Bombyx mori: one gene and its partners. The protein of the gene in region 3 interacts with the protein of the main gene of each other region in a biochemical or structural test. Links are inferred from orthologs where the notes say so. Each region holds a gene or a part of one and is shown on either strand. Other genes may lie near its edges.

Region 1 (7,838 bases), on a different chromosome or scaffold from region 3:
TTGAACTTCAAATATTTCATTTCTTTATGTATATTAACATGGGCATATTATTCGTGATAGCATTTACGTGTTAAGTTGATATTCTCTGCTTTTTTTTTCGGGCCGGGGTCCTAACCTCATATGAGGTCCCCGCGCCTAGGGGGGGCGCGGGGTCTGTGGAACTTGACGATCTGCAAGGTGGCGAGAGCAGACCGCGGGCCCAAAGAATTTTAGGGCCCTACCGCACTAAACGACTCCCCTACACTCTTACACCCGACGTCCGATCTCCGTCCGGGGTCAGAACCCGGTTAGAGTAGAGGAGCTCCCGCGGTCAACACTAGAACCAGACTTGCGGCGGCACCCCGAGGACGCCCGACCGACAGGTCGTCGACGACCAACGACGCCGGTCTCCGCGGTACGGCGATATTCTCCGCTAACTCAATAACCGTATTCAATTTTAAATTTAACTTACTTGCTAAAACATAGGAGACATTGAATGTTCCACGCTATTTAAATATTTTAGCGGGAAATCGCTTGTCAATTACTTTTCAACAACGTTAAAATTCCATGTTTGGAAAAAAAATGAAAAATTGGGAAATCGGAGGCTTTCCTTATATCAGCTTTTTATCGTAATCGCGTTTCTCTTCTTCTTGAAGCCTATGAAAGTTGGTTCTCGTCAACGACCACTGAGCAAAAGTTTGCTAGGTAAGTAGGACGACTGGGTATTACTGGGGCAAAGACATCTAGTACCTCCAGTTTCGATAACCTAATCAAATTACAAGCTGACGACTGTGAGGTAATCGGCATGTCATAAAGGATTATTGCCTTTGCGAGGCTTCAGTTTACGAACGGCCTCCCTGTGTAGGTTTCTAGCAAAATTGTTTTAAATTCCAAGTCAGAATGAACAATTAGGTAATTATCACGATTTTATATGCCTTATCAGGGTTATTCTGTAATTAAATATGAGTAAGTAAGCTTTCTAGGGCTGTTGTATCTGAAGGATAAAAATAATTGGACGCATCGGGAATTCGAAAAATACACTTCAAGTTAAGTAAATGTGAAAATGAGTAGGTACTACAATCATATCTTTTTCTGCCGCGAATTAGTCATTTGGGTTTGAAGGCTGGGACAGCTATTATGCAAATCAACCTCATGTCTCGTAATGAGGTGTGAAATTCACGGTGTGGTATTTAACCATTTAACACCTGTCGGCCGTGAGCTGGTTGACCACGAAATAAAAATAAGACATGCCTCTTCCTTCACTTCCCTCTAGAAAACCAATAGACCTTTGTCCAACAGTGTGAAACTTTAACAGTAATTCATCATCATCATAGTCTGTACTCTTGGCAGAGCAGTCATAGTCATGTGGAATCCTTGTTTATTAAAGCCTTGAAAGTTGTTCTTCATAGTTCGCGAACTGAGGCTTGAGGCACGCACTCATTATGTAAGGTTTTGGTAAGGATTTTCACTTGATAAGTCCAGTGCATTAGGCCAGGGCTTAATCACGAGATCTTTTTCCGTTGACCCTACCCTTAACATTTAACATTATATAATAATATATAATAATAATAGCTAGTAGTCTAATAATAATATATGTATAGCTAGCTATACTTAGTCTGGCCATAAATACTGTTACAATTAAAAATAAACAAAATGTTACATTTGAATTTGGAATCTGTCATTTTTATATGATTGCTTATTGAGTTTTCTCATTTTGGCGCCAATACATTGCACAATATTTTGCCATATTAAAATGGAGTGGGGTGATAAGGAGAACCGAATCGCTGTGATTGCATTACACAAAGTAGGTATGGAGCCAAATGCAATTTTTAAAACTCTCCATACGCTTGGTATTAGTAAAATGTTTGTGTACCGGGCTATTAATAGGTGCAATAAGACCTCCTCTGTTTGTGACAGAAAAAAATCTTGCCGTCCACGTATTGTTCGTACGAAAAAGGTGGTCAAACAGTAAGGGAAAGAATTCGAAGAAATCCTGTCCGAAAGCAAAAGATTTTATCTCGGGAGATGAAGATAGCACCTAGGTGCGTTCTAGAACCATGTCGCGTGTTTTAAAAGATGACTTAGGACTTGCAGCCTATAAAAGACGTACTGGTCATTTCTTAACTGATAATTTAAAAGAGAATAGGGTGGTAAAAACGAAACAACTACCAGCAAGACGCGGCGCCAGCTCATAAAGATCGGTCTACACAGTCTTGGTTGGAAACGAACGTTTCGGACTTCATCAGAGCTGAAGACTGGCCGTCGTCTAGTCCCGATCTTAATCCGCTGGATTATGATTTATGATCAATTTTAGAGAGTACGGCTTGCTCTAAACGCCATAATAATTTGGAGTCCCTAAAACAATCCGTACGATTGGCAGTGAAAAATTTTCCCATGGAAAGAGTGCGTGCTTCTATTGATAACTGGCCTCAACGTTTAAAGGACTGTATTGCAGCCAATGGAGACCACTTCGAATAAGCTTTTTATACTTTAAATTGTTTTATATTTATGTATTAAACGAACACACTGTAAAAGTAATAAATGTTTTTGCAATAGATTTTTTTTTCCTTTGTCTCAGTATTTATAGCAAGACTAGGTAATCGATACGTAAATCGCGCAACATTCGCGCTTCTACAATTTCATGTAAGAATTATACAATGTAATAAATATAAAAAAATATGCAATCAACTCTAAACTTAAAACTAAAAACCTTACAAAATAACAATAATAATAATAATTTAATATATTACTAAAGGGACTCTCCCTTTAGGCAAGATTCCGAAGATACTGACAGCGTTGCCCTTTTGAATAGCTAGACTAATTCTTTGTCCAAGGTAGCTGCTAGTAATATATTATATTAATATAATATAATAATTAATAAAAAAGAAGGGAGATAGTATTTAACATTACTTAAATACATGACAGATCGCCTGGGGGACGGACGCTGCTTCGGCGACCACTCGAAGTAAACCATCAAAATGGCCGAGAAGAAGGATTTGGAAGCCGTAAGTAATAAAACAAATATCTTTTTAAACCAATACAACACCCGACTTACTCGTATCGAGCGATGTTTGTGTGGATACCAATTCTTCTAACAAGATATTCATCTAGAATGTGCTACGAACAAGTTCCGGAAATTTTACACAGTTTAATTGATTACAGAATATGTTAGAGGAAGTCTGAAAGTGGCACCTGTGACAGAGAAGCTGAGGAGTACGCGTTTGGGATGATATGGACATGTGATGAGACAAAATGAAAATGAGGTTGGTAAGAGAGTATTAACTATGAATGTGGAAGGATATAGAGGAAGAGGTAGACCTAAGAAGAAATTGATAGATTGTGTGAAAGATGATATGGGTAAGAGGGGAGTGAACGAAGAAATGATATATGATAGAAGAGTATGGAAGGAAAAAACATGTTGCGCCGACCCCAGGTGACTGGGAGAAGGGCAGGATAATGATGATGAATGATGAAGTTCGATTTTCCTTCCTTTTATTGTAACTATTTTGGTTAACAATAGACTTCGGCTTGTAAAAATTATTGTCAACCAAAAACTTCATGAGGTCGTAGTTTTATAGAACATTCTACTTCAAATCACTAGGGTTGTGGATTATAATAATCCGTAATAAACTAGACGCGCCTTAATATGCTTTTAATATGAAATATGTGATAGGGCGACCCTGAATTGGAATGCGTCCGGAAACCAATGCCGTTACCGGTGCTCCCAAAACCACTTACTTTGGAAGAAAAGAAGTATTTGCTGGCAGTCGAGAGAGGAGATATGGCAAATGTGAGAAGGTTAGGTCAAATCAATATTTTTAGTTTAAAATTTTTTTCTACGTCTCAACGGTGACAGCTCTGAATGTGGTGCTAACTATTTATCAGAATCCCAAAGAAACGAATCTCTTGGAAATAGAAAATGAACCACTATAAATAAACTCCCATCGCTGTTTGTCTCTGACAACCCAAAATTCTATATTAACATTATATAGATAGCCCTGTCTTTTACATTTTCACTCCCAAACCGTTGAAGTGATCTTCATGAAACTCCGTGTGGAAAACAGCTTTAATGCTGGGAAACAATATTTAGGCTACCTATGATACTCTTGTTCAATATGAATCTCACCCGTGCGACATAAATCACAAATCACGGGAACGTATCTTCGGGAAAGGTAGTTCTTGATAAATACGTAGGTACGTGTGGTCATTTTCTTGGCGATCTTTCAAGACCTCAGTCACCTTATTCAGACAATATCCGCATCGCAATATATCACTTGTTCAGTTCATTCAATCAGTAGTAATGGAGAGACATTTACGATTTTGATTACTTTATGCGACTTAGACTTTAAATATTTGTTTCAATTAACGAATAATACTTCTAATACGAGAAGTTAGAAAACAAATGCATTAAAAATTCGTTTTATTTGAACATTAATGCTAACGTAAATTGTTTCTAGTAATAAGCTTTACGGATTATTTTAATCCAATTGTTTGAATCAAATGTAATAAAATTAGTCCAAGTTAGTAGTTATGTTAAAAGCCAAGATTCAACAACAACGTGTACCTAGAAACTATATAATTTAACTGGCTGCTACCCGCGGCTTCGTTCGCGTGGTCAAGGGAAATGTCAGTGTAGTTTCCCGTAGGAGTTAGATGTTTTTTCGGGATAAAAATAGCCTATGTCACTGACGTGACTTATAGCTATTACTTTTAGAAATCATATCAATCTCTTGCTTCGTTCATTGCGAAACTAGATGATTTTTTTGATAACGCCATCCTGTTGTGTCTTTAAAGCGGTTAGTTGCCCTCAATTAAGAAAAATAGTATTATTATTCACCAATAGATGTCGGGAAGAGTTGATTATTGAAAACACGAATAAAACAACATTTTCTGAAAATAAATCGTAGCTAGATCGATTTATCGCCCCCGAAATCCCCTGTATACTAAATTTTATGAAAATCGTTGGAGCCGTTTCCGAGATTCAGATTATATACAAATTGCTCGTTTAAATGTATAAAATAAAGGTATAAGATAACAACAAATAAACACACTTTGTTTTTAATGCTTAGATGTGTGGACGAGCTCACAGCCCACCTGGTGTTAAGTGGTTACTGGAGCCCATAGACATCTACAACGTAAATGCGCCACACACCTTGAGATATAGTTCTAAGGTCTCAGTATAGTCACAACGGCTGCCCCACCCTTCAAACCGAAACGCATTACTGCTTCACGGCAGAAATAGGCGGGGTGGTGGTACCCACCCGCGTGGACTCACAAGAGGTCCTACCACCAGTAAAACACACTTTCGTTTACATTTACACTTACGTAAAACTATTTTAATTTCGTTGGTTTAATCTCGTTTTTTTTTGTCATTTAATTATTTCTGACGTTTTGAATATATAACAGTTGACGTAGTCACGACCAAGACACAAGTCGTCACTTTAAGTCGACTTTTGAAAATTGTTTTTTTTTCCTATCTGTTCGCTGGTAACTTAAGGGGCTATTCCAGCTACTCACGAACGAGTAGATGAGCTCACAGGCTCAAACTGAAAGAATTTGTAACACTACTCCTATCAAGAGCAGTGCGTCGCAGAATATACCACCGAAACGGAATCGCGACCCACTGAGAAGATCTAGCGCGAAACTCATTGGACTTGAATAACATAGTAATTAAAGTATGACACTGACATTTTTGTCGCCATTTAAAAAAAAATCGATTAACTAATTTAACTACTAACAATTTTAACTTAAGATATTACGAAATGTTCATAAGTTTGATTTCATTCAGCTTCTACAGTATACGTGAGGAGATACCCTACTACCCTATTATTGGCCAGTAAATCCTTGGACAAACAAAAAACAGAAAAGAAAAGCAATTTTCTAAAAAAATCTTACGTTGCCGATTGAAACCGTCATTCAATTACTTTCAAAAGACAAAAATAAACAATCGTGTATTACCGTCGATCTCTTTTTAATTAAATCGACCTTGTACGAAAATATTTCGAGAAAACGTCTTTGGCCTTAAGTTTTAATGGTATTTTCTTTAACGCCTATATTTTTAACTGTGAATCCTAAAATGAACACACGTTTGTCACCTTCGCCTTCGGCTCGGGTCGTAGTTTTACACGCGGTAGGAAATGTCCAACTTTTCTCCCTTGGTGCACATACTATTTTTTCTCCTATCAGGCCGAAAGTTCGTGGAGTACTGAGCCGGGGTCCAGGGGCGAAGCCCTGGCAGGGGTAGGGGGGGCGGAGCCCCCCGACTCATAAAAAAACAATTTAACTGTTTTTTAATTTTTAAATTAACTACTAATAATTAAATAAGAACTGTCGATGAACTCATCTTTGTTTAATACTTCACTATTAAATTTTATTGCCTTTTGTTTATTTCACTTTTATACTAAACACAATATTGCAAATTACCCGAGCACAACAATGGAGGAGAATTTTAGATGCGTGAGAGCAGACGTAGACACTAACGCGCATGCGCACTTGTACCCAGGAAGAAAAAGTAACACTTTCTTTCCTGTACAGCAGGAGGAAAACCGAACTTTCGGCGTAGGTAGGAGAATAAAAAATTATCCGTGTAGCTGGCCTTTTGATTTTATGTTGATATCGTCTAATTTACATATTATATTTCTATTGTACATATTATATTATGCATATAAATTTCAAACTATTATAATATATTTTTTATATAATTATGTATTTTGATTGCTTTAAAATGATTTTGTTTTACACAGATTACTCCAAAAAGGCCACCGCAAAAAACACATCGACATCAATTGCGTAGACTCTCTCGGTCGCGGGGCTTTGACCTTGTCAATTGACGGGGAGAACTTAGAGATGGTGGAACTCCTCGTCATCATGGGAGTGGAAACAAGAGACGCTTTGCTGCAAGCAATCAACGCGGAGTTTGTTGAAGCAGTTGAATTGTTACTAGAGCATGAAGAGTTAATTCACAAAGACGGTGAACCATACGTAAGACCGATATATTGTACATATGAATTTTATTATTTCTTAAAAAAAATTTTTTTTGTCGCTCATTACCCGCACTGAAAAATAAAATTTAAAATTTCCATAGTTATAGTTGCTACAGCTAAATTACATATGTAATCAATCAATCAGTCTGCTTTTAAAATTACAAGTACTGCAAAATAAATTTTAATTATTTTAACAGAAACTACATCTTGCCAATCAAAGTTTCTAATATTGAAATATGTTCTAATACGTGATAATAACTCCTGATTATCCAACAAAGCTAGAATGTCAGCTTAAAAATTGGGGAACCTGTCATCGCAATATCTTACATATTATGTATCTTAAGTTGGACATCTGCGTTGTTACTGAAATGGCTTACAAAACTCGTGGCTTTAAATGATTTGTGATATTTAGTTGTAAGTGATTTCCGGAACTCAAACACCACATGATTCATGCCCAAATTGAAATAGATGGTCGAAGTGTCTATACAATAATCAGTATGAAATTACGGTTATCCTCTTATTCAAACGGTGGTATAAGAACGTTCTGTAAAACTAAACAGGCAGTTAGTCTACCGAACAAAAACACCCGGTCGATAAAAGATTTCATGTCTGAAGTAATTTACTATTGACTGATAGAATTGTGATTTTCACACTAAGCTGTTACTGCATCACCAACATAATCTACCGCAGCTCTGACAGTCACTACGTCCACTGAAATACTGGTACTTATTATTACCATTTATAACGTACTAATTATAAATCCATTTATAGAGCTGGCAAAAAGTTGATCCAAACACAGCAATGTTCACTCCGGACATAACACCTCTGATGCTGGCGGCTCATAAGAACAACTATGAAATAATCAAGATACTTCTA
Region 2 (8,292 bases), on a different chromosome or scaffold from region 3:
GATGGAGTGTGTGAATGACAATATGAGAGAAAGAGAGAGAGAGAGAGAAAGAGGAGTGAGTGTTGAGATGATGGCTGATAGAAGAGAATGGAATAGAAAAATTCGCTGTGCCGACCCCATCTAGTGGGTTAAGGTGGACAAAGAAGGAAAAGAAGATTATATTAATTTGGTTTACAAATACCTATGATAGGATGATCATAGTGTATGATGATTCAGTAATGACATCAATTACCTTTTTAATTAATCAATTACCTTTCCACTGACCGCAGCTAACTTATCCTGTAGTTTTTTTACAAGTATTGCATCACTTTCATAGCTTGTTAGTGTTGGTTGTGGCATACATTGGAACACTGTTGCCAGTAAATTGTGAAGAGATACCAGCACACTGTCCTGCCATGCTCTAGTGAAATACAAACTAAATGAGGGATTTTCTTCCGGTTTCTGGATGTAGGGGAACGCTGAAAAATAATGCTTGTATATTTTAGATGTAAATTACAGAGAAATTTATGTTGGAATATGAAGAAATATTTTTGTATGAGATAAAACTTTATTCATAGGATTCCTAATTAATAAATGCATAATTTTTAATATTGAGCTCAGAGGACCATAAAGCATGGTAGGGCCAAAAGGAAAAAAAAATTGTGTCAGATACATAGACATTGCTGAGACACGAAAAACGTACGACAGTATAATATTATTTTACGATAATAATAGTAAGGGGAGATGAATATGCTAAGTTACTATTATAATTGATTTTATAAATTAAAATTTCAAACAAAGTAAGTTTCGAATATCATTAATAGCAAATTGTACTGGTTGATACCAATAAAATATAAAATGGCCCTGACGGGCTTGCTTTACGATTATTTTACGATACAGAAATCTTCTTCCCTCTTAAGCAGATGATGATATATGGCTGCATTACTATTAATATATTAATGAATAATTTATTGTATCAAATAATTATTATATGAAATCTTACTGAACCACTCCTTCCATTCATTCTGTCCTTGTAATTCTGGCAACATTTTATTAAAGAAATCTGTTATCTTTTCATTTCTTATTAAACTGGTATTCTGTGCAGCTGTCACTAAGTACAGTTTATATAAACTATATTCTAACTTGCGAATAGCTGAAATAAAATTACTAAATAAGTATTTAATAGAACTTCATTTTGGTGCAAGCTATAGGTCCTGATTGATCTTACTTGGGATCTTAGACTATACAAAGTATGATATTGCAGACACCAATATTATCTACTCTAAAAGAAATTGGGCAGCACAGATGCTCTGCATAGTTATTTATTTATTTATTTATTTTTCATGCAATATGGTATCGCTCAGTAGAGCAGGAACTGGGCATCTTGGGCATGATGTGGGAAGAGCTAGAACAGACTGCCTAAGACCAATGCAAATGGAAGAATTTGATTTGAGCACTACACCCCAGCAGAGGGTAATAAAAAAAAGAAGAAGAATATAGTAGAAGAATATTGCACAGGTTTTCTTAGCAACGTAATGCACAGCAATGTCTAACTAAAATTATTATGTTTATAATTATCTTTTAATAAAGGCCAACTAAATACAATATTATCTGTGTTCTTAATATTACGTACAGCAATGAAAATATTTATGCTAAATTTGCTCTAGAGACAACTATTTAATTTTATAACTTTCACTTTTGTACTATACTGGAAGAGTCTTACATATTTCATAATAAGCATAAGTTAATTAGATTACTGTACTGTATTGTAGTTTAAAAATTGACTTAGGACTCATGTCTCAAGGTGGGTGGAAGCATTGACGCGTTTGATGTCTCTGAGCCCCGGTGACCACTTAACACCGGGTGGGCTGTGAGCTCGGCCACTCGTCTAAGCAACAAAAATAAAATTGTACATTTGTTGTGTCCTACAAGTATTCTTAAACTTTATGAAAGGGCACTCACCAGGTTGTACGTGTATTTCTAATTTCGTAAAAATTAAAGAATCTAAATGTGACCAATATTCCTTTAAGCCGTTGAGATCGGAAACATTAATGAAATGCATAATTTGTTCAATAATTTTGTCAACTCTAAAGCCTTTGTCTTTGTCAGCTTTTAAATCGTTATCAAATGCTTTTAGAGTACTTGCAAAACCTCTAAACAATAAATATTCTCTGACCAACTCGTCCACGAATTGTACATGTGCCATATTTTGACCTAAGCCCGATATTCCTATAAAATTTAAGTAAATGAATCGAATAGTACTGTAGGAAATTAATAAACATGAATAATATTATTAAAAATAAATTACAAACAGTAAGCAGCTGTTTTTGACACCAAAGTTCTGTCTGTGAGTCACAATTTCTTCTCTTGTTAAGTAGACAATGGGAACCTCATCCATACAGTGTAATCTTGGGCTTCAAAGCGAAAGGCATGCTATTGCATGAAAAGGGAAAGAATAAAATTAATTAAATCTAATTAAATAAACTGAGATAAGAAAATACCATATATGTTCGATGAGATGAACTATGATAACGTCTCAGCAAAACGCTAGCAAGTAACCGAGTAGAAGTCCTCTGAACTTTTGTTTCATATTCCCAATTTTGTACACTTTCATACATCCTAAAAGGCTGATGAGAAACCATTAGTACACTTTTAAATAAAGCTTTCCAAATAACAAATAAAAATATTCGACATATTAAACAGAAATTGTAAATTGTATGCATCTCACTGAAAAGTAGGCTAGCATTTTGTTCTAATTTTTTTACGATTAAGTATCTCTTTTGCGGTATCATCATTAAGAGTTTAGAGTTTCGGCATTGTTATATGATGAAAATATTTAAGCCGTCATTTTCAAATCCTATAGAAAAAAAACAAAAAATCATTAATCATTCATGTCAATCAATGACAATCAGAGATAAAAAACAATGACAATTAAATGTCAATTGTAAATTTGTCAAAGTCAATTGCTCCCAATTTTCAATCAGCTGTCGGTTTTGTCGTGATAAATGACTAGTAACAAAATTAAACAAAATGCGTTGTGGTGAATGAAAGTGTATTTGTTCCGTGGGCTGCTGGTCGAATAGCTAAGCTTCAGAGCGTTAGTTGTATCGCGGGCTGCTCTATGCGGTGTGCGATGGCGTTGCGTGGGGAGTAGGGGCGGGCGCGGTTCGGAGGAGCAGGCATGCGGCGGTATGGCGGGCGAGGCTGCGGGCACGTCGCGAGGGTTGCGCGTATACAAGATCGTGGTACTGGGCGACGGCGGGGTCGGCAAGTCTGCGGTCACACTCCAGTTCGTCAGCCACAGTTTTTTGGACTACCATGACCCAACCATAGGTATTAGCGAAAATAACAAAAATAATCAATATCCATTAAATAACAAAAAAATTCAAGGGCTTTAGTGATCAGTTTAAGAAATTGCAAATTAAACAGTCACCAGTCTCTATTGTTAATATACTTATTAATATAAGGTTACTATGTAATGTGATTGCTAAAAAAATTTATTCCAGATAAAGGCCAGCAAAAACTTTAATTATTATGTAAAAAAATAGTTTTTCCTTGCCGTCAATGAGTTGATGCGTGTTTACATAGTATGAAATACAGCCCCATATTAATGTAGCTACCATGTTATATTGACTATTCTTTATGCACCATTTAGAGGCCATCTACCATTTGAACTGGAATGCATGATTGTTTCATTGCAATAATAGACAGCATGTTAGCTTATGTCATACCACCTCAATACATTTTCTGTATGTGGCATATGTCATAGCACCAATCACTTCAGTATCTCACCATTCAAGTTGATTTTCAACTATTTTAATAATATACTAGAACACTAGTGTAATATTTGGTTGCCCTTATTTTAAACAGAGAACATGAACAAATTTCACTGGGAGAGATAGTTTAATTCGTACTAAACTTAAAAAAATGCCAAATGTTCATTTTTTTAATTTCAGACTTAAAGTGAAAATGTTAGACACTCTATTTAATTATCCTCTGTTATAATAGTAATAATAATAGAGAACGAGACATCCAGACATCTGGCCTCAAACTAAAATTATGTGTACTATGGGAAATTGAGATGATTTTTATTCTATACAGTACGCTGTCGTAAGACATTCGACCGTAGTTTTGAGTACTTAAATTTAAGTTTCAATAATACACATATAGATAATACACACAAAGACATCATACATAATATATTAAATACATACAACTATAATAGAAATTGTAATTTTATATGAAAAAAAAGGAGTAGAAAGGATAATGAGCACCTTAAATATTTTAAGTTGAATACACTGTTAAAAAAACGAATCAAAGTACTGTGCACAGCGACATCAATAGATAAATACATTTTATAATAATACTCATGCTACTAAAATTTTTTTGTCACTGAATATGTTTTGTGTATCTACTGGAAAAACTATACAGTGTAAACTCTATGTAATGTCACTCAATTTAATGACAAATTCATAAAATGTTGAAACCACTTGGCTTTGGTTGGTTAAGCTGGCCTTCCATATAATGAAACAGTCTCTATAGAATTATACCCATTTTCAATAACCACAAAATTAGTAATTAAAATAAAGTAATTATAGAAGTTTTGGAAGCAGCTAAATTATTGGGAATGTACTTCTTTTATCACCAAGATGCCTCAATATTGCAAGATATAAATGCCAGTAGGTAAAAAATGTCACAAAATTACTGTTGCAGTCCATTCAGTGTTGTTGTATAGGGCTTACACTGTAAAAGTTTTGTAACACTGTAAAATTGTTATTTAAAATAATTTTAAATATTACTGTGATTCTCAGAGGACTCCTATCAACAACAAGCAGTAATTGATGGAGAACCAGCACTGCTGGACATTCTGGATACAGCTGGTCAGGTAATTACAATTTCTATTACCAAACACATATTATGACATAGTTTAATTACTTTTCTTTTACCACGACACTAAGAATTGCTTTGAAACAATATATCAATATCTCATTTGTATCTCTGTATTTGTATCTATAAATAATGATATTTAAACATAAGAATATTATAATATAGAATAATGTAATAATATCAAAATATATAAATTTCGAAGTCGGCGTGGCTTAAAGCATAAGACGTATGGTGCATTCCTATCTAGCAATGCAACAGTGTTTGAATACCGCAGGCAAGTGCGAATTTTCCTATTGAAATATATTACATATTTAACAAATGTTCACAATTTACTTCCTCAGTGGACGAATAACATCGTGTAATAAAAATCAAACCTGCAAATTTACAATTTGCATAGTTACTGGTGGCAGGACGTCTTATAAGTCCGCACGGGTAGGTACCACCGCGCTGCCTATTTCTGCCGTGAAGAAGTAATGCGTTTCGGTTTGAAGGGTGGGGTAGCCGTTGTAACTATACTGAGACCTTAGAACTTATATCTCAAGGTGGGTGGCGCATTTACGTTGCGGATGTCCATGGGCTCCAGTAACCACTTAACACCAGGTGGGCTGTGAGCTCGTCCACCCATCTAAGCAATAAAAAAAAGCCAATAAAAGCGTATTAAAAACCCAGGTGGAGTTCACTGCGATGCGGGAGCAGTACATGCGTTGCGGGGAAGGCTTTGTGCTGTGCTACTCGGTGACGGACCGGCGATCGTTCCGCGCTGCCGCCGAGTACAGGAGGCTGCTGGCGCAGGCGCGTCCCTCCGAGAGGCTCCCACTCGTGCTGGTTGGAAACAAACTTGACCTAGCTCCGAGACTTAGACAGGTGAATATTAAATATCCACGTATTATACACGTATTATTCACGTATTATCCGCGTATTATCCACGTATTATCCACGTATTATCCACGTATTATCCACGTGTTATTCATGTATTATCCACGTATTGTCCACGTATTATCCACGTATTATCTACGTATTATCCACGTATTATCCATGTATTATCCACGTATTACCCACGTATATTATGTACGTAGAAACTTTGTAAAACGTTGTTTTTTTTCGCTTAATACGCGACATTTATTTTAGTAATTAAAGATTCGTTTCATTTGGTATTAGCAAAAAAAATTGGATGTTTTTAATTGAACTTTATTTAACCCCTTCATTGCGGAACAGGCCCATCTTGAATTCCGCGGTACTTTCAGCTAGTGCGGACCGATTATTTCAAGTTTTTGTTAGAATTCGACAACTATATACTACAAATTGTATACAGTATGTTTACACAAAGTTTATAGCATTTTAATCTACCTTAGTGCTGGTGGGTTGAGAAAGACCTACCAGGCACTGGTGGGAATATCGTTGGGGCCGCATCGACCCGCCAACGACCCCATTGAAGGTTTATGATTTTACTGGCCGCAGCCAACGTGTTAAGTTTACTCCATTCAGATAGTTGACGAAGTTGTTTTTTTTAGTTTTTTTTCAAAATTTTCGTTTTTTAAATGGCTCTCCTGTAAAGTTCAAAAAATGTCGCTGAAACTGAATTGCCTTTCAAACCTTGATATACTATCGATATCGGTATTGAAACGTAAGAAAGAGACCGTAAAAGTAATTTTAATGTTGGCAATTATTTAGGAATAATATTGCACCTAGCACGTACAGAGACTTTTTGGCGGGAACGCGAGGAGTGAAGTTGTGTGATTTGTTTTGTTTTGTCTATTTAGTGTTTCTTCAGGTTTCAATGTGTAATAACGGTGGTTTATTAACTGTTTAGTAGCTGTGAAAGTGCACGAATGTGGGAAAATGAAACAAAGCTGCTGGACGTAACAAAAAGTCCACTGAAAAAATCTCAGTAAATGACCACCATTTTACTGAGATTACATTTCATCCCATATCGTCTCGTCTTATTTCATTTAATTTCAATTGATTAATGGCTCAAACTAATAATTTTCATTTCATTTAATTTCACTCCATATTATCATTTTTCATAAAAATAAGAATATAAATTAAAATAAAACACGACCTAAAGGTCTTAGTTACCAGGTCATAAAGTCCCTTAAAAAAAGCACGGGCAAAAAACAAATTGTTTATGTTAAGGTAACGACCGAGGAAGGCAAGGAGCTGGCCACACAGCTGGGGTGTCCGTTCTACGAGACTTCGGCGGCGCTAAGGCACTTCGTCGATGACGCATTCCACGCACTCGTCCGAGAGATACGGCGCCTAGAGAGACAGAGACAGGTGAATCCTTTTTTTTTTTCGTACCTAATCTGTTGGCCTTGAGAGGCCATTTCAGCGTAACCCTAACAACTAGGTGAGTTCACGGGGCTCAAACCTGACGACGTTGATAACACTAACCCTAGCAAGAGCCGTGCTTTGCAGAATCTACCATCGTATCGGAAACGCGACCCACTGAGAAGATCCGGCGAGAAACTCAGTGGGCTATGTCTATGGGTTAGTTTACTCAGTGCTTGAGGTACCTAAAAGCACCGTTATTGGATCAAGAGGATCCGAAATGACGTGTTTTGGGCGACGTCGACTGTTTACAATTCGGTCCGCAGGATCGGTAATGTGAATCGATAATTAACTCGTTGGGTGACAATGGTGAAATTTATCTCGTGTTTTCTTTATTATATCGAGGGCTGAAGACTATTTGGTTTAAGCGACATTTAGCTTAATACGCGACATTTTTCTTTGTAATTAAAGGTGCGTTTTAGTTGGGATTACCATCAATAGTTCGATGTTTTTAGAATAGAAGCTAGAATAAAACTGAGGGAGGTATTCGAAAACATGATAAATATCGAGGGGTGAAAGGCTATTTGATTCAAGCGACATTTTTGCAAATTTTAGTCTTTAAACCATTTAAAGATTAAAATTTAGAAAAACTATCATAACAAAAGAGATATTTGAATGTGTTAAGCTTAATCGAAGTTCAATTAAAAACACCGAGTTGTTGATGCTAATACCAAATAAAACGGACCTTTAATTGCAAAGATAAATTTACGCTGATGTCGCGTATTAAGCGAAATGTCGCTAGCTTTACACACCTCTATATATTATATGTATCTATATCTATCTATACTAATATATAAATAAAGTGGTTTTTACAGATGTTCCGTTATAACTACTGAACCATGCATCCGGTTGATTTGAAACTTGGTATCCATGTCGAAAATACATGTACATAATGGATAGGCTAATATTTATATGAATGTTGGACTCCTTAATAATAATGACAATAAATAATAATGTTAATTTTAAATGCCCAGCGGAGCGGGCAAGTACAGCTAGTGTACATATAGTACAGCTGTGTTTTATACCGTATGGTCCATGGGGAATGCTCTGAGGAATTATTCGAGATGATCGCCTCATCTTCTTTTTATCATCGCACCT
Region 3 (8,507 bases):
AAGTAAATTAAGCTTCAACATGTGCTACTCTATGCACGCCTGCTAATTCCCGAAGAACGCCTTTTTATTATAATATTAGGTTTTGAAGCAAACCAGTTTTTTTTTATGGGTAAAATAAATTAAGCCGTATAACAAATTATTTTGGTTTTATTACGTAGTTATTTTAATAAAGGTTCATTGCCTTTAATTCGACGATATTTTCTTTGTCTTCCTTTCCTAAATGGTATCTACTCGTGCTTCTGTTTACAAGTCTAAGATTCCACAAAGAACCGCTATTGTCCGTAGTGTGTTGAATACTTGTGTCCTCTTCAAACATAACGTCAATATTACGAAATGTCTTTGTTCCGTCACCACTGTGCTTAAACTCATTATTGAAAATTGCTCTAATAAATAGGGAAGGGATCTGTGCTTAACCGAAATACTGAAAACAACTCAAAATAAAATCATAAAACATCTTTTTTATTTAGAATTTTTCGATGTTTCTAGCAAAAGTACAAATTTTAATGTTGAATAATGCAATTTTAATTTATAATGTAAAACATACGATAAATTAAAAATAATAAATGATTGGTGCATGTTTTTGTTCAAGATTACGTGAACACTCAGCACGTCCTGACACGTAAGATTGAAGGCTTATCTGTATTGATAGAATAACAGTACTATCCCAAACTGATAGCAATGCAAGAGTCTTATAATATTAATATAAACAAAACAAAGGATCTTTAATGAATAATCTATTTCTACCACAACCCTGTGACGTTCGTCACACATAATAAAATTAAAAGTGTAGTTTGCGCCTAAAGCAATTATTAGAACCCGAATGACACTGGCAGCCGAAACCGCACCCCACTCTCACTAATTACACTAACAAATTAATGGGATTACTCACTCAAGAACACGCCATCTAAACGTATGGCAAAACGTTTTTTTTTTAAACAACATAATTAAAATTATTATGAACCTACTTAAAACATAAAGATCGTGCATCGTTATTCGTGGCGAGTTATTTGACAGCTCCTCGTAATATTGCAAGGGCCACGCGGTGTTAGCAGCGGCCAGGCCTCATGGGCATCACAGCATACCTGCCGCCATCCACCTGTAGACGTGAAGCCTCCGTCATCAAGTATCCGTTGTATTGAATAACGGCTATCCCACACTCCCAACCGGAACACACAGTGTTTTGTGGAGGAAATGGACAGGAGGGTGGAACTAGCCCGTAGGCTCATGTTAGCTAGTAAAAATTTGTTGACGTCGACCATGAATCGAGTAAAGATATCATCGTAGTACGATAGTCGGTCAGCGGTCATGACAGTCGGATAAACACCAGCACGTACACCCCTAACAGGACGAGCGGTATAAAACCTCAGCGATCGATCAAATTAAAATTTCAACGGAATGCAATCGAACATTCCAGAATAATTCCATTTTGTTACTAATACACCAGCCGGGCCGTGAGCTCGTTCATACATCTAAACAATAAAAAATACTAGTAGAAACAAGATATACGCTTCTCTAGCATATACAATACTATATAGTTTGAACCGTATCATAGGAGTATACTAAGCCTGGAAGTGCAATAAATAGATGTACAAAATTTCAAGACCATCGATATTTTTTTTCCTACGTGTTCTAGTAGCCTCGAGGCGTTATTCTAGATTCATCCAACTAGTAGGTGAGTTCGCGGGGCTCAAGCCTGACAAGCCATCGAGTAAAAGACGCTACCTAAGGATGGAGCACAAACAACGAACATATTATTATATTATTATTTTAATATTCATTATTAATTAGATACAAATAAAAATGTAGTTGTTATGTATGTAGTACTACAATAATTAAACTATTGTATTGTATTACTGTAGTATAATTATATAATTGATAACAATAATATCATTATTGTAGTAGCATTATTTACTGTATACAAATGTGTTTTTATTATAAAGTCTTATCTAGAAAAACTATGAAAAATTTCGAATATGTTGGGTAAATTTATTTTTCATTCTGTGTTGGTATAAAAGTAAAGCATCTGATAATCCACCAGTGTGCTTAGTGCGAGCTTTTTAACTTTCTCGATAGCGTAAAAGTTAACTCAACTTTAGATGGAGTTGGAACGTATGCCGCTAGGCGCGCTATTCCAACTGCATACAAATTTGACTTAACTTTTACGCTATCGAAAACGTTAAAATACTTGCACTAAACACACAGATCGTGAGTGGTAGTCACTACTGCATTTATCGTTGCCAATATTGAAATACCAAAAATCACATTGTGAGTCCGCGCGGGTGGGTACCACCACCCTGCCTATTTCTGCCGTGAAGCAGTAATGCGTTTCGGTTTGAAGGGTGGGGCAGCCGTTGTAACTATACTTGAGACCTTAGAACTTGTATCTCAAGGTGGGTGGCGCATTTACGTTGTGGATGTCTATGGGCTCCAGTAACCACTTAACACCAGGTGGGCTGTGAGCTCGTCCACCCATCTAAGCAACAAAAAAAAAAAAAATCCAATCCTTTATTAATACATAAATATTGTATTTTAATGACAAAAACCTTACATACACGCAAAGAAACTTTAAAACAATTTACTAAAAAAAATTAATAATTAAACAAATACGAGTTAGATGATGACTTCAAGTGCGAACAAAGTATTTTAATGTTCACAATGTAAAAAGTAAATTTTAATTAAACAATGCCCACGGAGCTTGTGACAATTTAGCGGAAAACTTTCATTTTTCAATTTAGTTCTATAACTCAATCACAGATGGTAGTACTGTCATCTAAACAATGGTGATGTGTTTCTTGACTTGCATAAAATCGATACTTACAATCGACAATCGATTGTTTAATAAAATTGACAATTAATTTTTTCTCTTAAAATGAGTTAAAATTTTTAATATTATAATATTATAACTTTAAAACCATCTAATCTGAAAGGATGAAATGAACATTATTTAAATATAAGGTTTTACAGTACAGAATTCGTGATTGCCCCTTTAGCTACAAAAAATCTTTTTATGGAAATGATAAATTAAAGTTATAATCTGCATGCCTTTCATTACATTCATTTTCGTTTCTATAATATCTTCTACAATGTAATAAGAATCTCTTTGTGACTAGTACTAATCTTACGGGGTTCTTACAATGAATGCTTCATAAATATTTCCGACGTGTGTTTTTAATTACATCTCATTGCACACATTGTAAATAAAAATCCTCAAATAACAGTGTCAAGCTAGGTTTTTCTTGTATTATGTATACTGGAAATATATACACGAGACGAGAACAAATATACCTAGAGCCCCAGATGCTAAAAATATTTAAGATACTAAATCGAACCTGAAGCCTTTGTTTGATTTTTCAGGGTCAATAAACACGTAAACAATAAAGCGATCATAAACAATCTACAAGTTCATATTTTTAGTCTGCTTTTACGTATCTTTAAATAAAAGAGATTACTTTGGTAGGTACTATCATAATTCAATTGTCTATATTAATTGGTAGGAAATTATGGTAATTGTTTTTTTGTTTTTTAATTTTTTATTATTTCCGGCATTCCGATTGTGTGCGAATCATACGGAAGATGATATTGCGACAAGATAGGGCAACGTTTACTTTCAGTAGGAATGCGTGTGTGGGGGCGCGGCGTCGGGAAGCCCGTGTTATCTCGTTAGCGGCGCCTGCGGGCGGCACTGCGGCGCGGATCTGGGGCAGCGGCGCTCGGGAGCGGGCACGGGCGGGCGCCGCTCTCGCTGGCGTGGGGCTCGCGGCCGCAGTGACGCATTGCAGGTGCGCGGCGGCCAATCGGCGCGCGCCGGTTCGCGCTCTACGCCGCCGCACCCGCCCCTTATAAAACCGACTATCCTTTGCAGAGCAAATTTAATCCTGTGTTGTGCGTCCCGAAACATGGACTTGGACGTTCCGAGGATAATCATTGTGTAGACCGTTTCCGCCCTGCAGCTTGCGAAACTAACCTTCTCGTGAACGAAAGACGGATATGACAGTGCGACGAATCGAGTAGTCGATTCGGAACGATTCGCGGCCGAGCTCGATCCGAACCGCGATCCCGAGTTTCTCAGCGAGGCCACTCGCGCGAGTGAGGGCGGCAGTATCGTTTCAGCCGTCGGTCCGTGCGGTCGCTTTTGCGGCGTAGTCTGTGATTTTTTAGTGTAGCTCCAGATAATCCAAGTTAATCTACAATGGTGAGTGCTATTTCTATTGAAAGGTGTCGGGAGTGCCTTCAGAAGATCACGAGGAACAGTTTCCGGGTCGTATTTCGGAGAAGTTATGCATCGGTGTTTATAGTGATGACGGCCTCCATTATATTATTGTGATGGCCGTTTTTTTTACCGCATTGCGGATTCGAGAAGTATCAGAAGGCGTAACTGAAGCCTCACAGCGAGGCTTTCGAAATAGATAAACTTCAAAGCAGTGTTGAAAGCTTTAGATTTTGCGATATTTAAAAACGAGCCTATGCAGAAACAACGGTCGCCATAATCTAATAGGTGGTGCCGGTGAAATTACGTTCTTTAATTTGCAGTAGGCCGTTAATGTCGGTTGAAATGGCGCAGGGACGTCGTTGGAAAGAAAACAAATGGCTTTGTAGTTTGGGCATATTGTCGAAAGGCCGCGGCCGCTGTTATGAGGATCGATCGCCGGGCGCAACTGTCAAACGCTCGTTGACTCATCGTCATTATCTGATATTGTACCTACGTAAAACTCTTTTCGTTAGACCGTGTTGTTGTACATAACATATCATCTGCTGTGAAATTCCATAATGGTAACTAAACTTGTCGCTTTCATCGTCGTACGGTGCCACTTATAGTAACAATCATGTAAATAAGTTTTTGTTTATCAAACCAAAACTACAGCTGTAATTCTTTTTCTTTTTTTTTTCGAAAAAGTTTAACATGCTCTTGTTATATTTTAAAAGCTGAATTCTGGTGTCTTACACCAAAATTTCCTTTGCTTGAAGTTACAGAAATTAAGAATAAATCGACGCTTGAAAGGCAAACTTGACTAAGCGACTATAACTGCTTTGTACATAAATGATAAGCAATAACCATATTCAGTGCGCAACGAAAAATAAATTTGTAGGTCTATTAAAATCATTTCAATCATACAGCTAGATTCATTAAAATAAATTTTGTTTTCAGGTATTTCAACTTTAAATTAGTCTACTGTAAAGTTCACGCATTATCGCTTAGTCACGTTTGCCTTTCAAGCTTCGATATGAATACTTGAAATCACAAGGATCGGTGTAGTCCCTATTGCCTACAGTATTACAGTTTGTTCCTGACTAAATCCCTAGCCATTATTTTTTCTATTTTATTTCAGCGGAGAATACTCATACTCGTGTTTAAAAAAATTCATTGAAAGTTTTTTGCCAGTAAAATAATGGGGATTGGGTATGTGGGGTATAATGGTGATATTTTCCCTGCAGCCATTCAAAGTTTTTGTTATGATTTATTTATTGTTCTAAGTTCGCAGATCATGGCTATGAATGTATATAAATTCATACAGAAAGAATCTGCTTTTTAATCTTATTCTAATCTTTAACTATTTTTTTACATCCATTGTTCTAGTAATAACTGTGCTACTCAATAAAATGAAGTCATGAAATGTTAGCTTGAGTATAATAAATAATAAACTGGTGGTAAACATTGATAAATGCTAAATATGCATTCTCAACTAAGGATAAACTTGGTATAATTAAGTTAATATATTATTATAACACCTAAAGTGTAAACATATGTTTAAGTTAAATATTTTTGTATATATCTGAAATTATATTTTTTTCTAATGTGTTTGAAAATCCAAGGAGTTGAGATTAATCTGAAGCTCAATTTAATTGAGTTGGGAAAAAGAAAATATGAAAGAGTTTAGCACATTCTATCATACATTATGAGAACCATTGTTAGCACCTATTGGTATAATTAATAGAGGTCTTTCAATGTGTCGAGGCTTAGCGGAGGCATTCTCATACAACTCTCCAGTTAATATGTAGGACATTGTGGGCTGTAAGCTATGTTTCTCACTACATTAGAATATCTGATAATACAAATCATGTAAAAAGGGCAATATATGTGCAATATTCTTTTCTAAAATAGCTAAGGCCAAATTATCCATATTTAAATAAATGTTCAAGTGACATGATAGTGTAATATTTACCTACTAACTACAATTGGAACTAAAATTAAGATAATAAATTCTTGTGGCCCTGTCAAATGTAGCTTAAGCGATTCTTAGGCTAACATCATTTTGGTACCCTCCGATAGTGCTTAAAGAGACTATTCACATCTAATAAAAAAGAATCCATTAAGCATGTTTATGTATTAAAATTAATTTATTAAAAAGGGAGTGATATTTCAGCTCAAATGATTATTGTCTCTAACAAGCTGAATCTAAATAATAATTCAACATTAAAAAGTGTAGTTGTATCGGAATTGTACAAAAAATGTTAATTTATGCCTCATACATTTGTGTTCCTACGTTGAATCATAACTTAGGTATTTCATACCTATTGCCTACTGTGTAGAATACAACATAGTTATATCAAGTAATATTAGTTTTATTTTTACTGTGTCAATGTGAACAAGTTAGTGACTGTGCATCACTATATTTTTTAGATTTATTTGTTTAGTTATTCATGTTATTGATAACTAAAACATAGTTAAATTAAAAATATATTGCTCTTAGTACAGTAGTATCCCATTTAAGCGGCCGTGAATTCGAGATTGGACATACATGGAGCTTCTTGATTTTCCTGGAAAAAAACTGGCTCTTAGCAATGTGTCTATATTTGAATTTTGCTTGGCACTTGCTTTTCGCCCACAGACCATGACTTGACTAATCATCAAACTTTCGGCCCACAACAACCAAATTTTTTTATTATTATTGCTTAGATGGGTGGACGAGCTCACAGCCCACCTGGCGTTAAGTAGTTACTGGAGCCCATAGACATCCACAACGTAAATGCGCCACCCACCTTGAGATATAAGTTCTAAGGTCTCAATTATAGTTACAACGGCTGCCCCACCCTTCAAACCGAAACGCATTACTGCTTCACGGCAGAAATAGGCAGAGTGGTGGTACCCACCCGCGCGGACTCACAAGAGGTCCTACCACCAGTAATAAATAAAAATAGTAGTAAACTGTCAATACTTTGATGGTGGGGTATTTTCTAAATCCGCCTATACGCGGTTCTATCATCGTGTGCATATTTCTAATGTTAAATAATCTTGCATTGCGTTTTAAATAGTCGATATGTGTTAGTTCAAAGTAACTAGGACTTAAATCTTGTTTCATCCGTGTGTGGATTCAGTAACCGCTTAAATTCTCTCTACCCATTATGAGGGATAAAATGCAGAGGTTTCAATTGTATTGATCGATTCCAAACGAACGCATTAGTGCTTCGCTTCGTTGTTGAGATAACACTATAACTTTACATATTGGTATAGGCCTACAATACTCTCTACTTCCACTAATTACTTAGGTAAGTAAGGCTGTTCTCAGTACACCTCAAGAATGCCAGGCGCCTAGTCGAATGGCAGTTGGCCGTGAAGTACTTTAAGTGCTGTACAATACAGCCGTGCATTATTCGGATCAATTAAACATGAATCAGCGGATCTATATGTTGAATACGTTTCAAAATGATATTGTTATCAAAATAAACTTTAAAGAGACTATTCTGCCTGAGAGTATGATTATATTTTATGTACATGCAAAACATGTACAAGTGTTAGTTTATACGACAAAAGTTGTAATTTTAATGGTATGATTGAAATGTGCGGTCGTGGAACATCATAATATATATCTTACCGAGACTAATCGCATAATTATTTCAAATAATATTTTTCATAAGGCTTACTTCCATGTAGGCTCGGATCCAAATGTTTGATAACAACATTTTGTGCCAAATGAGGTTATTTTGCAATTTCAGGAATCTATTTGAATCAAACTTTATCGGAACTTGTGGATCCACGATTGTGGCTTGTGCCATCGTATTACTAATTATAGCGCGAAACGATTTAGGCTAAATTATAAATTCGGTCTAAAAAGTTTATATCAATAACAATAAACATTATCGCAAGCCATAATGATAAATGTTCCAATGCAGTATGTTATATTTATCTGTGCCGCATTGTGACGTGTCAGTTTGAGTAGGTAATTATACATAATCTCTGCCTGGTATCTTATCGGCAGAGTTTTGTTGGCACTTTGCCAGTCTGCCTGCCGGTCTTCTGTTGCGAATCCTCGTCTACTATGGTCGTCATGGCTGTACGTATAGGCTTCTGCTTGACAGTTTTTTTTAATGTCCTTTACTGTGGCGTTGAATCATGCAGTTCTTTTTTTTAATTTGATTCAATTGAGGTTTTGTGATTGAATGTTTTGTAAAGTTGTGTTTTTTTTCAGTTAGGAAGTGGCTGCCTTCAATTTGCGATAGATTTTTACTACCTATTGTTTGTTTTTTATTCGTTTTATGATAAAATATATACGCAAATTTGATTAAAAATA
Region 4 (8,631 bases), on a different chromosome or scaffold from region 3:
GGTGAAAATCGTTTCCTGAACACGGGCTTAGTATGTATTTTCTTTAAAAAGGTACGAAATATCAACATTAGGAAACTCGCATTATTGGATACATCCTTTTCGCGACATGTGTATCTATGAGATGTTAGTATTGACGTTATAGATATAGGAGTACATTCAAAATGAAAATGCTTATAGTTTCCTTATGCCCGCAGATTTTTTTTTGACTTATATATATAAGTAGACTAGTACTTTTTTTCTAATACCTCCTTATGAATTCAGCAAAAGGTATGCGACTGGAGAAGCCACTCTGCCTGGCTTTGGCCGTGTCTAAAACAGCCAAGGCTCTTAATTGTTGTCTCACGACCTCTTTTTGGAAACCTCGGGGATTGTCATTCAAATCTGGTCTGATGCATCTGACGTAATGCGTTCCGCCACTGCCGGGCCCAACGGCGAGCTGTTTCAATAATTCTAAACTGGTTGCTCTGTATGTTGCAGCCGCTGTTCTCATTCTATGAACTTGAGAAAATTGCCCTTTGGAGACCGTGTTGAATTTCTGAAAATTACATCGCATTCAAATATTTTTATTCATATAAAATACATAACAGTGTCATTCATATAAAATACATATCGTACCCTAGTTTTTAGGTTTTCCAATTCCTTTTCTGATTTTGATTTAGCAACTGTGACTTTAGGCTGACTTGGCGAAACCGTAAGATTGCCTGTTTTCGTTAATTTATTTCTAAATAACTGTTGCACTGTTATATTGACTGATGCCCTCATTGTTTCTATCATTTCAGGAGGAAGGAAGTCTTTGTTCTTTTCTGCCATTTCTCTTGCATCGTAGCTCACTTTGCCTGTATAGTGAGCTACACTGAATTCATGACTGCCGGATAATTTGATGTACGGTCCTTTACACGTTGTCCTTATTGTACCTAGAGCGATACGTGAAAGCAAAGTTTGGTATAGTTTTCAACTTACGTATAATAACAGCATTAATGGGATTTTTACTTACTCATGATGAATTCCTGTCCACTACTAGTTCTACTCGCTTCGTCCAATACATAAAACAAGCCTAAAGGTCTGCCCATGAGTTGATCCACAGAATTTTTGTTGTCATAAAATCTTAGTTCTGGCATTGCGATACCTTCTTCTGTGGCTTCTTGCATTTCCCAAGCGAAAATTCTTTGGTTATAAAGGAACTGTATTTGTTCATTTGTTGTATTTACTATCAATTGCTCTAGTCGATTTCTGTGATAGCATTCAAAACCGAACATATCCAATAAGCTGACTGAATATTTATCACCACTATAACAGAACATTGTGTTAATGTATGTTAGAAAACGTGAACTGGAAATGTTAATAAGAGATTAAGATTACTTACAAGACAGATCTCATAAAGGAGAGTTTCGAATTAATTAAATTTATCATCCAGTCAATGAGTCTTTTATATAAAGTGCCTGCTAATGTGTCCCTAGCATCTCTCGCTTCATCTGTAGTATGTTTTCTTTTTACTGCAGTCCCGCTTTCGATAAGACAGTAATTTAATAAAGCCCAAAGGAATTTTGTTTCATCCAGTGACAATAGCTTCGCTACCCTCTTAGCCTCCTCCGGATTTTCAATTTCGGTTGAACCATTCCTTCCTTCTTTGAATCTGACATTACCGAGAACTAAAATCGACGCTAAAACTGTTTCAAAAAATCCTATGTCCTCTTCTTCCCAATCGACTGCGGTGAGGTTCTCAATGATATTTTTATAATTTTGAACGTTATTTTCGACACTTTCTCTAACGCCTTTTAATTCTTTTTCAGGTTCATCTGATATCCGTAAGTATCTATGTTTTCTGTTTTTGTCTAAACAGAGTTCATCTAATCGATTTCCCGCTTCCATCGCATCGTAGAAATAATAAATTAAGTCGAAGTTAGCGTGGGTCCTGGAACGTTAAAAAATTGTGAGTTTAAATCACAAAATTTACCAATCTACTTACCGACCGTAACCTACATGTCTGTTGATGAGATTCGCCACTTTTCTAATTGATACAACCAAAAGATAGCGCCGCTCAGTTTTCCCGAGCTTCCGTATGTCACTTGAACTTGAAAAATACCCCTGGTGCAATGTGCATTTATGGGTGTAGCGGCAGAAATAGCTGCTTGGATAATACTAGTTGCTTTACGAATTCTATCTGCTGTGTTATTCTTCATCGCTCCTAAATGAGTCAAATGTGACAGAGCGTGTAACATGTTCGTAGTTTTGCCGGATTTGCTTTCTCCAGAGAACACGATGTGCTGTGGTTCGTTATGATGAAGTGCGTCTTGGTAAGCGCCATCGGCTACCGCGAATATGTGCGGCTCATTATCTGATCTTGATTTGCACTCATACTTCTTGTGATGCTGTAGAAAACAAAATGGGAATTTCAAATGTGATTTTTATGTAGATGTGAATTTCAACATCAACTAAGTAACGTAATTTTGAAGTCTTTATTTGATATCGGAAAGGAGTTCTTACGTTTTCGTTATAAATATCATCATCGGTGTTGGGGTTGAGAATAAGTAGAATGTCACCGACGAAAGACATAAATGAACCTTTCATCAATTTTATTTGCAACTCATTGAGTAAGTTTTCCTCAGTCAATATTTCTAGAGCGGCAAGATCCTCAACTTGCATCGTTTCGGCTTCAGGGTTCCCTTCAGTTGTCAATAAGCCATCTCTTATTATCCGTTCTGGTGTTTTATCTGGCGATACCTTGCCACTTAGTTCTTTCGCGAGTATCTTCAATTCTGTTGAGAGCTGTGAGAAAGATTGTCTTAAATAATTTCTATTTCCAGTACCTTAAAAGCCAAACTGAGGTCATTGACTCACGTGATAATCGTTCTCAGGAACGGACAGAATAAACGGATGCTCTTCCAGTTCCATTATGAAAGGTCGATGTTCCGGATTTTTTTCGAGACACCTTAAAACAGTTGCTTACATTGTGGTCACTCTAAATTTCGCGTATCGCCGCAAACTTAACAAATCAAGGAATCAAATTAGTTAGCAGCTACTTACTCAGAAATGAAATCGTTGATATCGTTCGACCACATTGAAGGCTTCGAAATGGTCGGCGGAGGGCATCTTACTATTTGAAACAATGCGCGTGTCGGATGCATGTCCTGGTAAGGGGCTTTTCCGTCTGCCATCTCTATAGTAGTTATGCCCAAGGCCCAAACGTCGACCCTGTTGCCGTAACCGTCGTCTCCGCCAGTCACCACTTCGGGCGCCATCCAACTCGGAGAACCAACATTCGTTTTACTCTTATCAAGTGTTCCGCTTAATTTACACGACAGTCCAAAATCAGACAGTTTAACTTCACCGTCTTTTGTGATTAAAATATTGCTACACCTTATGTTCCGATGCATCACTTTGTTCTCGTGCAGATAAACGAGGGCCTAGAGATCGATACAAAGATTGATTAAGACAATCGGAGAAGTCGACACCCGTCGGACATTGAAGTGATTGACCGACCGCCCCCCATACCCTGGCCGAGACAGGTTGGCGATACTAATGTCAGCGTCAGTCAAGTGGTGAACGCCCCTCGTATTCATTGAGCTTATTTGCATATGTATCGCTCCAGAGCGCTGTCAGTGGCGGCATGTCGGAGCCCTCAAGTCTGATGTATCAGTTTTCTTAATGCGTTCATTACGATTATTTACCTCTCGGTGTTCTCAGGGAGGTGGTCGCTCGTCTTTTTCTCAACATTAAATTCTACTATGTGGTCTAATTGTAGACGATACGCCGATATCTTGTCACTTGTTTAGAGTACCCGTAAGTACTGTGATGAATCAATTACCCAACAGAAACGTGAGTGAATGTGATAAATGTTACGAATCGAGAAAACTACTTAAAATACGAATTAGTATCAGAATTGTAAACGAGTCATTAATCATTATTTAGAAAAAAATCGGATACCCAGTTTGAAACGAAAAAATATCAAAGTAATTAATGCATTTTCAAAAAGCTTCCACTTTTGTTACCTAAAAATCAAGAACTCACGAGAGATGTAACGTGCCTAGATATACGACAAGGATCTTTCGAACGAAACCGAGCATCAGTATTGCAGGCCAAGTGGCTTGCATAAAGATAATGCGCGTTTAACGGTATCCAAAAACATTAGAGCCAGAGACGTCGGTAACAACAAACCTTTACGCCTTGTGCATAGGGAAGGAAATCCACAAGCAGATAGTAGTTAAAGAGATCATCGGCTACTGCGATAGAGGTCCGTATATCTTGTGTGTGCGAGCATTATTTACGATAATTGAGCGATGCGCCGCGATGGGGGGCCATCACGGTGTTGTCGGGCGTTCTCCGACATTCGCATCGACAACTTCGACTGTTCCGTCGCCAATCACATCAAATAAAGCGGCATGCATTTTAAATAATGGCTGTAGATTGTATTTCAATGTACGCGGATGATCGGAGGGCAATATTTTACTTGACGTCACGAGGCCAACATAAACCTTCGGGACACAAATCCGAGAACAATTGAGTTTGCATTCAAAGTACCCCCAATTGATTCAACGGTTGAAAGCTGGACTGGCAGGCCCTTTGTTTTGTAAACAGCCATCTCGAGTAGAATGTGACGAGGGACATGTTTATAGTCATTCATATATGGTCTTACCTTTATTGTATATTTTAAGATGTAAGCTATGTGTTCTTCGGACATTTTTCTTTCTGCCGTATTCAGCTTTCTGACAATATCGATGACCGATCCGTTTTCGCACAGCTTAAAAGACAAGATAAAGTCGATTAATTCTTTATATAACTTGTTATCTAAAATTTTATTCTGATTATTATTCAAAGTAATGTGACTTGTTGTTTAATATTAAATATGTAAAACTCACTTCAAGAACAAACCATATTTTGTTTATATTATCGACTCTCTCGCAGAACACTCCGTAAAAGTCGATAAGATTAAGATGAGTAGTGAAATCTCGAAGTATTTTGTATTCCTTTTGAATGTGTGCCTCATTTTTATCGGTATATTTTTGTATTTTAACAGCAACGGATTTTCCAGCCGCCTGTGTATCGGTAGCCTTGTAAACTACCCCAAATATGCCAGAACCTAGTTTAGTGTCTAGTTTGTAACGTTCCAAAGGATTTTGCAAGGACGATAAGTTGAGACCGTCTTTCATTTTGGATGGCGCATGAAGATACCTTTGCAGAATATCTCTGAAAATGGTGCTAAAAATTAAAAACAAGTCCTCGAAGGTAACGTCAATATAAAAATCTAAATAAATCTAAGATACAACGGATTATTTATTGTTAGCAGAATAAGATCATAAACATCTTGAATTTGTTGTTGAAATTTGAACTTTTATCAAAATAGTAGCTTAATCAATTTAAAACAATTGGACCGCTACCTACATTAATGTTCTAGTTATTTTTGTATGTGTCCACACTAACCTGTAAAGGTAATGCGAGTATAAAGAGTTAAAATTTCTTTGGATCAATGTTTGAGGTTCTGAATTTTTAACCCGATTTAAAAAAAAGCTTTATAGAGTTTTTAATTTATTTCCACAAACAAACTAGTTACCCTTGCATATGACATCTCTTTCTTAATATAGAGAGTTTTCCATCTATTGTTTGTTATTCTAATGAAATTTAGATTTTAACTATGTCTCGAGGTGGTCTAGATTCCGGGAACCGTTAGATTCTCGAGCTGATGATAACAATAAAAAAATACTTACGGTTGCAGCAGACCACAGCAGACTAACACGTCTAGCCTGAACTCCTTCCACAAGAACAAGTGGGCAACCACGTTCCGAACTCGCATAAGTGCAGGGGCTTCGTAAATTAGGAACGAGCCTAATCTCATAATGTTATTAGGGCACTGTGACCTCCGTATCGTCTAATTACTCATAATTGGAGTTCCATTTCGTACTTCGTAATCCGATCTAAGCGAATTAATTGTTTTTCTATTAGATTTTAACAAAGGTTTCAATTTGATTTATTTATTTTTATTTATTTATAACTTCATATACTAGAAAGTATAAAGGCGGACTTAATGCCATAGGCATTCTCTAACAGTCTACCTTAGGGGAGTGCAGAGATGAACCTTGGTAGGTGTAGGGTGAAGGTGATATTAAACATATGTGTATATGTAACATACAAAATATTTATAGATACAAATACTCCTACTTAAATAAATATATATATATAAACAAATATTATCAATTAGATGATTATGCTAACTCTCTGAGAAACAGTTCTCGAACCTTCGTCTTAAACGCTTCACGTGTAGTGCAATTTATTCAGCAAGTTTATAAAAAAACGTACTTGAATTCTACTGAATCTGATTCCGAAAACAAAATTAAGAAAAAAACGCAACTTGTTTCTATATATATGTTTGCTCATGACGTGAAATGCCATACCAATTGAATTTGCTTACGATGCCGTGCTATCCGGGACACCCGTCATTCTAATGTAATCCATTCATCAGACCAATAACTACGCTTGAAGGCATACTTCAAATGGTTCTTTACATTTTAAGATGGATTAGATTTTTGCTTATTGTAGCCAAGCCGAATGCGTTACAAAAATTCTTAAGCCTATTTTGTACAGTTATTTATGTACAATTTCAATTTCTCTGCGTCGGTCCTAAACAACGGCGGATCCAGTGGGGGGTCATGGGGGTCATGACCCCCCCCCCTGAGCTAGTTCCACGACTTGAACTAACTTGGACTAATTGAAGAACATCATGATTTAATTATTATCTATTGTTATCAAAATTAAATTATAAGTTCTTAACATGCCCACGACTATGTGACCCCCTCCTGGCGCCAAAGCTGGATCCGCCCTTGGTCCTAAATGTCGTTTCTGCAAGACGACGATAATACAATGATCAACACGTATTCTTCCAGTTCAGGTCAGAAGTAACTATGCTCGCCTGACAGCCCCTGGTATGTCAGTCTCTGGTTTCTTTGACGTCATCAGAACACCATCATATCAACAGCCTCCAACTGTTCTCTACTTTTCCTTTTCTGCACATGCTCTAACATAATGTATCTGTCTTTGAATGATACTGTCGTGAGAAGAACACTGAATTGTCAAGTTTCATGATGGTTCTTATTGGTGGTAGGACCTCTTGTGAGTCCGCACGGGTAGGTACCACCACCCCGCCCATATCTGCCGTGAACAGTAATGCGTTTCGGTTTGAAGGGTGGGGCAACCGTTGTAACTATACTGAGGCCGTAGAACTTATATCTCAAGATGGATGGCGCATTTACGGTGTAGATGTCGATGGGCACCAGTAACCACTTAACACCAGGTGGTCTGTGAGCTCGTTCACCCATCTAAGCGATACATAAAAAAATGCAAAAATAATTAAAAATGTTTATTGAATTCAAAGATACATCATTGCGTACGAGCCGAATTAACAAAAAACTAATAAATTTAAACACATCAAAACATTACTACTGTACAAAATTAAGGTGATTGTAGCGTTATTTATTTTATGAAAAAAAACTCTTTTATTTCTCAATAAAGCATTTTAAAAGCAGAAAATATAATAAAAGGCAGCTTATGAAGTTTTTATTTTTTTTTATTGCTTAGCTGAGTGGACGAGCTCACAGCCCACCTGGTGTTAAGTGGTTACTGGAGCCCATAGACACCTACCACGTAAATGCGCCACCCACTTTGAGATGTAAGTTCTAAGGTCTCAGTATAGTTACAACGGCTACCTCACCCTTCGAACCGAAACGCATTACTGCTTCACGGCGGAAATAGGTGGGGTGGTGGTACCTACCCGTGCGGACTCCCAAGAGGTCCTACCACCAGCTTATAAATAGATGTGGTATTTTATTATTAATTCGGATTATTATTCTAACGCTCTATTGGAAAACTTACTATAACATTCATGCATTTAACAAAATAACAGTCCTCCCGAAAATAAGTTGCATTTTATTTAATTCCGAAAAATAAGTTAAGGTAGCCATAAAAGTTCTTCAAATATTGCTTGACTTATAACACGAAGCGATGAAGTAGTATACCAGAGGCACTCAACTCAATGAGTCAAATTAAGCGGAATAATAATGAAGTTGCTACCAAACATTTAGTGCGCTTCTAGACAGACGGCTTGAAGTATTTCTTTGAATAAGTGCAGTGTTTTTGTTATACGCCAGCACTCGGTAAAGTCCATACGTACTTTTAGAATTACAGAAACGCAGTTTGAAATTTTTGTATTTAAATTTTAATTAAAAATGGACCTATAACAACCTTTCTCATCGACTCATAATACCCAAATCACCACTATCAGCTTAAAAAGGGACAAAGAAAGCTATTCATCGGTCTCTTTCACTCCGTCCTCTTCCTCTACGTCTTTTGTAGGTTTGAAAATCGATGTTTTCCAAAAAACACATTTCTTGGGTTGTGTCTCTATAATTCTAAAGGTGTGACTTGTGCTGATTTAATAATATAACAAAAATCTGTTTACATTTTTAACATTTCTTTTAAAAAAACATAGAGGCTATGAGTCTTTTTTTATATTTTTTTATTGCTTAGATGGGTGGACGAGCTCACAGCCCACCTGGTGTTAAGTGGTTACTGGAGCCCATATACTGTAGAATATACATACTTAGAACATACTTAGAATGTAAATGCGCCACCCACCTTGAGATA

The links.
Region 1: the proteins of calmodulin (region 3) and transient-receptor-potential-like protein interact in a test that uses a peptide from one of them, tested with the Drosophila melanogaster proteins (2 studies listed by BioGRID). The link is inferred for Bombyx mori from reciprocal best matches to the Drosophila melanogaster genes Cam and trpl.
Region 2: the proteins of calmodulin (region 3) and GTP-binding protein Rit2 interact in a test that uses a peptide from one of them, tested with the Drosophila melanogaster proteins (2 studies listed by BioGRID, with this or other methods). The link is inferred for Bombyx mori from reciprocal best matches to the Drosophila melanogaster genes Cam and Ric.
Region 4: the proteins of calmodulin (region 3) and neither inactivation nor afterpotential protein C interact in a test that uses a peptide from one of them, tested with the Drosophila melanogaster proteins (2 studies listed by BioGRID, with this or other methods). The link is inferred for Bombyx mori from reciprocal best matches to the Drosophila melanogaster genes Cam and ninaC.

Annotation. Positions count from the first base shown.
Region 1 is NC_085120.1:6,389,460-6,397,297, forward strand, and holds part of transient-receptor-potential-like protein, read left to right. Parts: intron 1-2,904; 5' UTR 2,905-2,957; coding exon 2,958-2,984; intron 2,985-3,652; coding exon 3,653-3,777; intron 3,778-5,404; exon of another isoform or gene 5,405-5,654; intron 5,655-6,722; coding exon 6,723-6,960; intron 6,961-7,733; coding exon 7,734-7,838. UniProt on the Drosophila melanogaster protein: A light-sensitive calcium channel that is required for inositide-mediated Ca(2+) entry in the retina during phospholipase C (PLC)-mediated phototransduction. Required for vision in the dark and in dim light. Binds calmodulin.
Region 2 is NC_085125.1:11,327,459-11,335,750, reverse strand, and holds the start of GTP-binding protein Rit2, read left to right. Parts: upstream 1-2,921; 5' UTR 2,922-3,170; coding exon 3,171-3,312; intron 3,313-4,790; coding exon 4,791-4,864; intron 4,865-5,535; coding exon 5,536-5,730; intron 5,731-6,999; coding exon 7,000-7,140; intron 7,141-8,292. Other genes in the region: WD repeat-containing protein 91, read right to left, coding at 253-458, 983-1,132, 1,942-2,185.
Region 3 is NC_085129.1:641,099-649,605, forward strand, and holds the start of calmodulin, read left to right. Parts: upstream 1-4,110; 5' UTR 4,111-4,189; coding exon 4,190-4,192; exon of another isoform or gene 4,193-4,767; coding exon of another isoform or gene 4,768-4,770; intron 4,771-7,880; exon of another isoform or gene 7,881-8,255; coding exon of another isoform or gene 8,256-8,270; intron 8,271-8,507. UniProt on the Drosophila melanogaster protein: Calmodulin mediates the control of a large number of enzymes, ion channels and other proteins by Ca(2+). Among the enzymes to be stimulated by the calmodulin-Ca(2+) complex are a number of protein kinases and phosphatases.
Region 4 is NC_085110.1:4,592,148-4,600,778, reverse strand, and holds the start of neither inactivation nor afterpotential protein C, read right to left. Parts: upstream 5,765-8,631; 5' UTR 5,703-5,764; intron 5,185-5,702; 5' UTR 5,148-5,184; coding exon 4,857-5,147; intron 4,739-4,856; coding exon 4,634-4,738; intron 3,405-4,633; coding exon 3,025-3,404; intron 2,930-3,024; coding exon 2,839-2,929; intron 2,767-2,838; coding exon 2,485-2,766; intron 2,370-2,484; coding exon 1,981-2,369; intron 1,913-1,980; coding exon 1,364-1,912; intron 1,288-1,363; coding exon 995-1,287; intron 915-994; coding exon 616-914; intron 536-615; coding exon 246-535; intron 1-245. UniProt on the Drosophila melanogaster protein: Required for photoreceptor cell function. The ninaC proteins combines putative serine/threonine-protein kinase and myosin activities. Essential for the expression and stability of the rtp protein in the photoreceptors.